Caenorhabditis elegans: one gene and its partner. The protein of the gene in region 1 interacts with the protein of each later gene in a biochemical or structural test. Each region holds a gene or a part of one and is shown in the gene's direction. Other genes may lie near its edges.

The links.
Region 2: of the proteins of flp-11 (region 1) and frpr-3, one has a biochemical effect on the other in vitro, tested with the Caenorhabditis elegans proteins (one study listed by BioGRID).

What each region holds. Positions count from the first base shown.
Region 1 is NC_003284.9:4,676,758-4,680,118, reverse strand, and holds flp-11 (SPLDEEDFAPESPLQ-amide), read left to right. Parts: upstream 1-1,996; 5' UTR 1,997-2,052; coding exon 2,053-2,132; intron 2,133-2,187; coding exon 2,188-2,354; coding exon of another isoform or gene 2,355-2,368; exon of another isoform or gene 2,369-2,423; coding exon 2,424-2,509; coding exon of another isoform or gene 2,510-2,565; 3' UTR 2,566-2,785; downstream 2,786-3,361. Other genes in the region: tmem-135 (Transmembrane protein 135 homolog), read right to left, coding at 2,922-3,054, 3,099-3,265. UniProt on the Caenorhabditis elegans protein: FMRFamides and FMRFamide-like peptides are neuropeptides. Induces sleep-like quiescence behavior following release from RIS interneuron. Helps to sustain locomotion stop after gamma-aminobutyric acid (GABA) induces fast slowing response.
Region 2 is NC_003283.11:7,769,353-7,773,108, forward strand, and holds the start of frpr-3 (G-protein coupled receptors family 1 profile domain-containing protein), read left to right. Parts: upstream 1-1,908; 5' UTR 1,909-1,975; coding exon 1,976-2,578; intron 2,579-2,947; coding exon 2,948-3,050; intron 3,051-3,322; coding exon 3,323-3,488; intron 3,489-3,537; coding exon 3,538-3,653; intron 3,654-3,700; coding exon 3,701-3,756.

The sequences.
Region 1 (3,361 bases):
GATGATGTAAGTTGGTCTAGGCTTTAATTCCAGTTTCCGTTCCACTAGTGATCTTATCATTTATTCATATCAAGTTTCATTTGATGTTCGATTCATTGTAGGTTTCATTGTTCCCTCTGACTATTCATCAAGTTCTATGAAACCATTGTGGCTTACTAGTTCCCCAAAGTTGGAAAGATCTGGAGAAAGAAAAACAAGTATCCCAAAAGCCCAAACCTTTTTTTTCCAAATGTTGAGCCTCTAAAGTTGATGAATGGGGTGAGAGAGGTTTTCATGGTTTTATGGCCCATCAGTTCCAGTAGAGTTCCTCATATCTTTTCGCACTTCATTTTTCAATCTGTTAAGAGTAATTCCCCCACAACTTTTAGCATCCTCAATCCTGGTTCCACCCACAAACACCCACACTCCATTGAATATAAGATTATAAAATATAAGTTAAAATACGAAAAGATGCAAAACTGTGACGACGAAACTTAACAACCTGCTGACGTGTCAAATATTTCCGCATCTTACCTTCGTGGGCATCTTCTAACTCATAAATTTATGATGTTCGAATCCCGGCGCCAAGTGATGTAAACTCATTTAATATTTGAGGAAAAAGCATAGACGAATCCATTTTGCATCTAATTTATTTTTCTAGTTTCACACCCATGTTTCGCTTGGCATAATCAGTGTTTGAGCGCACTTTTTGCAAGGTGCGTCTTCTTGTAAAGAAAGATTTTCAAAAAAGTGCAAAAGTGGGGGAGATTGAAAAACGATAAGAAGGTTTCATGTCAAACAAGGACACACGAATATATAAATACGGGTCATTTTTCAAACTTTCCATTGTGACTTTTTGGAATATTTTTTTCGTAAAAATGAAATCGATTTTCTGACCAATATCTCAACTTTAAAACTTCTAATTCTGCTTTTTTTCAATCTTCTGTAAACAGGAGTGCGTCGAAATTTCGGCAGTTTCGGCATATTGCCAAAAGTTTATAGTCCAACAATTGCCGGAACTGGTGATTTAGCTAAACAATAAACCTCAAAATATTAGGTATTTCAGTAAGAAAATGACCTATTGATTATGACTTTGAATCAAGTTTTGATATATTTTTAATTTTTGAAATATGATGAAAATTAAAAATTATCAAAAATTCTGGCAATTTTGGCACATCGGCACACAATGCGAAATTTGCGGCAACTGCCGATTTTTAAAAAACTTTATTTGTTTGGTATAACAGTTAGGCACGCATTTTGGAAATAAACCGATCTTTTATTGGGAGAAGTGCCAGTTAAAGTGCTGGACCAAGTAAAATGTTTCCAAAAAACCAGACACGTATTAATAAAACACTTCAAACTTTTTCAAATTTTACAACAATTTTCAATTAAAGTTTTGGCAAATTGGTAAATTTTCAAGAAATTTTTTTGCAAGTTTTAATTTTTAAATATACATTATAATTATTAGAATGTTTTCTGTATAGAAAATCTCTGCATCTGTTGGAAATGAATAAAAACTTCATAACAATTCTAAATTAAAAATTCAAGAACACTAGAACAAGCGTCCTCAAAATATTCACAAAATATTGTACACATTTTGTAGTACTTTTTCCATTATTAAAAAAAGCAAAACTAGCTTTTCCTTCCTTTCCGAAATTTAATGCTATTTTCAAGATGACTTTTTTGCTTGCGTTTTTCTCAGTTTCCTCACACACACACACACACAAGTAGGCGTGGCCTGTGGAACGTTTCAGAGCGCAGAACACCTGCATTTGATCTATTCACTTCTTGCTTTTGAAAAGCCCAAAGACACCCTACACTTCGGTTTCGTTTTGGAAACCATTGACATCATCCTATTTTCCATAAGAAGTTTCCTTGAGAAGAATCCATTTCGCAAATTTTTCATTAAAACGTTCAAAACTCATCAAACCATTTGTAAATAGTAATAAAGTATGTCCTGCGGCTATTTGCTTTCTCTTCGGAATCTACAACGCCCCCTCCTAATACATCGTTTCAGGTATAAAAAGACTGCGCCTAGCCGCTCGTCTCACTTTTTGCAGTTCATACTGAATAATGACTCAATTCTCTGCATTGGCACTTCTCCTTATTGTCTTCGTTGCCGCTTCTTTTGCTCAATCTTATGATGACGTCAGGTATAGTTTTTTCTTAAAACAATTTTTATCAATTACCCATATAAATCTATTGTAGTGCGGAGAAACGTGCCATGCGGAACGCCTTGGTTCGATTTGGAAGAGCTAGTGGTGGAATGAGAAATGCTCTCGTTAGATTCGGAAAGAGGTCTCCATTGGACGAGGAAGACTTTGCTCCAGAGAGCCCACTCCAGGGAAAACGGAACGGTGCCCCACAACCATTTGGTAAGTTGTCTTAAAATTTTTCTTCCGCTTTTTGCCTTTGCTTCATGTGTCGTTTATTTTGCTTTGCAGTTCGCTTTGGCCGATCCGGTCAACTCGACCACATGCACGACCTTTTGTCGACTCTTCAGAAGCTCAAGTTCGCCAACAACAAGTAATGACCGAGGACGACCGTCTTCTGCTCGAACAACTCCTGAGGCGAATTCATCATTAAAAATCATATGTTTTTCTCTCTCACACTCTCTTTTTTCATACTCTCTCTTGCTGTCTAGAATTTGATTGGTGTCGCTTAACCCCCCTTTCCCTCCGAAGGAAAGTTATCTCCCCAGATCTCTTTTGGTGTTTTTTATCAGCTAACAACACACATTTTCTGATATTTCTATGCTCTGTCTATGAACAATAAAGGCGTTGTTAATTACTCGCAAAATCACTTTGTTTATTTTTTTCACATTTTCAGATAGTGAACAAAAGAAAATTAAATTCTAAAATCTGAATCGGAAAATTCAAATTAAAAATTAAATTTATTTTTTTTATATTACACCTGTTTTTTTTCAAATATTAGATCAAAAACTATTCAACAAGTGGCATGTAAAGCATAGGATTAATCATTGCATATTTAGGATCGAATTCTGGAATTTTCGTGTAAACATCTCGAGAAACAAAGCCAAAATGATCGTAGAGACGTCGATTGAAAAGCGAGATCCTGCAATGAAAAAGTCAAGTTGTTACAGCTAGTTAGATCCTTACTTTCCACCAACAAGTCCAAAAAGAAAGTTGAGGTATCCTCTTCGAATTGCTCTAGGTTCAACAACAGCGTTCCATAAAACGTAACCCGTCGTGATTGCGTAAAGAATTACTTCTCCATTTTTGAATTTTGGCAAATAACCTCGATCAACTAGATCGAAATATACCGTCTGAAAAAATGTCATGAAGGGAGTTGGCGCTGATCACCTCGCTGTCGTCAGGATATCACCATGGAAGCCCGCCTTTCACATTTGGGATTCCACCCC
Region 2 (3,756 bases), on another chromosome or scaffold:
TTTTATTACTTTAAAAAAAATTGCGCCTATTTATTTGAATATATTGGAAGTTTTTCTTAAAACATCTATCAGCAAGCTCCAAATTTGTAGTTCAAGTTCCAAACATTATTTTCTGAAAATTGGTTATTCCTTTAGATCACAATTTTTATTTGTTTTCTTGTTCGATATAATAAAACCTTTAGGAGTATTCCTAGAATTTTAAAGAATAGAAAATATTTATATTTCATAACAAACACCAATCTTTATAAAAAATAGAACTTCACCTCTTCGTGCTCACAAAATGCAAACTTCTAGACCTCCTTGAAGTGATCTCCGTATTTTTTCATTAGTTAGACATAGTTTATGCTTTCACCTACGTTAGCGCTCAATATATAAATATCCCTTTATCCCTCTGTTAATTCAAATACTTCCTGATCCCTCCGAAATTTCAAAATGAAAGGGGTTTCAAGCTACTTGCTTTTTTCGGATTCTCTTAATGAGTTTGAATGTACTTTAAAAAACCAATGCTTTCATGAGTAGGATATAAATTAGCAACTAACTTTCCCGGGACCTCCTACACTTTGTTGCTCAAGTACGTCCCGCCCATAAGCTGTTCGTGGCTCCCCATCTCCGGACCCAATAATTGCCCTCATAACGTGTTCGTTTCTCCTTTGTTATCTGAATCTTCTTCGCGTTTTTCCTTTTCTTTTTTTCCCTACTTTTTGCTCTTCACTTCTGTTTCTTCAATGTTTTTATTTGGGGGCTTCAAGTATTAATGATCACGTCTGAACCAGGTAGTGTTGCAAAAATTCTTGATAATTACTTTTTCTTGTTCCTTTTCATTTTATAGTCTAGCCTTTCCAAATAGGTCAATTGAATTCTCTAGCAGAAAGATACTGGGGAAAAAATAAAAGATCAGGTAATTTTAATCATGTCATACCTACGTGCCTACCTATACCTTTTTGAATAAATGTTGGAACATTAAAGGTTCAACTATCAAATTAGAAAAAAAAGTACATCTTGTTTACTTCAACAATAAACAAGACGCAATGGTAGGCTCTTCAGTTTACAATCTAAAATTTTCCGAACCTTTTTCAAGTGTCTGCGAATTTCTGTGAATTTCAAAGAATTTCGTGGAAAATGTCACAGAACGGATTTTTATGAAAATTTTCGGAGAAATGCGAATTCCTCAATTTTTGTAGGACCAAAAATAACTCGGATTCTCAGTACCCACCTGTTTTTGAAAGCACGTCTGAGCCATAGGCAACGCCAAATATCTGAAGCCTGAGTCTAAACCAAGCCTAAGCCCAAACCTAAAATCAGAATCCAGGATCTGATGACAAAGAATCGTGCACTAATTTCAGGAATATGTCCCACCCCCACGGAAGTGCATTATGATGAGATGAATCTATATGAATTATTAAAGTTGTTTGGAGAGTGTGTGTGGTGAAGCTGTCAGTTAGCAGGCTTTATTTTGTTTGCGATCCATCTTTTCCTATCTGGAAAATTTGATGAAGTTGTGAGCATTTCAAGAACATGGGGTTCCCCGAAGAGGAACAATTGTGCCCCTGTTTCCAGTTGCCACCAAATGAACAGCTGAGCAATATTCATCAATTAGCTCAATTTCCTCCCTCCATTTTCTTATTTTTTCTTCAGTTTTCTTGGACATCTCTATTTTTACGTTCTGTATTCTATAGGATGCTAGTATTTTAAATATGTTTTATATGGCGTGGTGCACAGGTGTTGTGCGCACCTTCTATTTCTACATTAGGTGCCTCAGCAAAATGTAAGCCTAGGCTGCCTAGAAAGAAGGTTTTAAAAGTATTAGAGTGCTATGACGTCATGCGTATCTTAGAAAATAATATTTCCCTTATTGTCTGTGTTCTTCCTTGCATTCACTGTTCCTCTACGCACCTTGAACTTTTGCATTTTCAGCTCATAAATGCACAATTGACCAACAAACATCTTCAACTTCCACTAAACTCTCACAAAAACAATGTTGCTACTACTCTCCCGGGTTCTGGTGAACGTGATGGTGCTGATGTGCTTTGGTGGAATTCTCACGAACTTCATCTCATTCTACATCTACACTCGTAAAACATTCCGGAAAAAGAGCATAAACGTCTTGCTCGCAGCCTTGTCAATGTCTGACCTTTGCGTCTGCGTTCTTGCAATTCCAGTTTTTGCAAGTACTCAACTTCAACAAGTCATTCCGCCAACAATTACTGCAATGATCATGGTGTACTTGTATCCAGTGACCATAATGTTCCAGTCAGTGTCAGTATGGTTGCTGGTATCCATAACAATTGACAGATACTTAGCCGTATGTCATCCATTCATGGTCAATACGTATTGTACAAGGAATCGCGCTCTCATAACTGTTGGAGTTGTCGTGATATTCAGTGTTGCTTACAATTTGATTCGAATTTGGGAGTACACGATAAATTTCGATGTCGCTCCTGAGAATCGTACGATTGAAGATCTTGTTGTACCGAAGCTTCGAGCAAATCCGCACTTCTTATTGTGGTACCAGAATGTTGCCACGTTGGTGTCGCAATTCGCATTTCCACTTACAGTGTTATGTGTTCTCAACATTCAAGTAAGTTGGTTACAATGGGTTGAGGAGTAGGAGTAGGCCTTAGGCTCAGGCTTATGCTTAGATGTATGCTTAGGTTTAAGCTTAAACTTAGTCTTAGGCTTAATCTTAGATTTAGGTTTCGGCTTAGGCCTTGGCTTAAGCTTAGGCTGAGTCGTATGCTTAGGATTAGGCTGAGTATTAGGCTTAGGCTTACGTTTAGGCTTGGTCGTGTGCTTAGGCTGAGGATTAGTCATGGGTAGGGTCAGTATTACATCCTAGACTTAACTGAAGGTAGGACATTATTTTTATTTATTTAGATAAAGCATGTAATCCTAAAAACGATTAGTTTTAGTGTAACTGCCCAAATTTTCTAACAAAGCAATTTTCCAGGTAGCGCGAACAATTATCGAGGCATCCGAGCAACGAAGAGAACTAGTGGCAAGTGTGAAACGAGAACATTCGACTGCAAAAATGATGATAATGGTTGTTTTAGGTAAGATTCATTTTTTGGATATTCTAGAAATCGGATTTTTGCTCAGTGGTCGTGAAAATGAAAATACGGTCACACTCATAGACTGATAGAAGGGATTTGCGGTAAAAATTTGTTTTATTTTTTTCTACCTACCGCGAGGACAAACCCAATCTTAAAATTAGTCACTAGTTTTGAGAAACATTAAATTTTTTGGATAGCATTTGATGAAAAAATTATTTACATATCCCCAATACAATTTAGTATTAAAGTCAACAAAGTCATGAAGCTTTCAGTATTCCTCGTTTGCTACATCTTCTCATTTATTCTAAATATATGGGAAATTCTTGACAAGGAGACTTTTGGAGGAGATATTGGTTGGTTTATGAATGACATCAACAATGTACTTATTGTTGTCAACTCGACGAGTGCAATTGTTTTCTACTATAAATATTCAACAAGGTAACGAGACCTTTAATAAATAGAATATTAAATTTTTTGCCCATTTTAGGTTCCGAAATCAAGCACGGACACTTCCCGGGATACGGTGGTATGCTAGTATGTCAAAGTTCAATGTATATGATACAGAGGCAACATCAAATCGAACAATGGTCACTAGATACAAAGGTTTTTTAATTTGTAATAATATTATATCCTTACCCAATTCTTTTCAGAATCCATGATTTCAATAAGAGGCACGTCAACTCGCCTGAGCAGCTCTCACAATTTG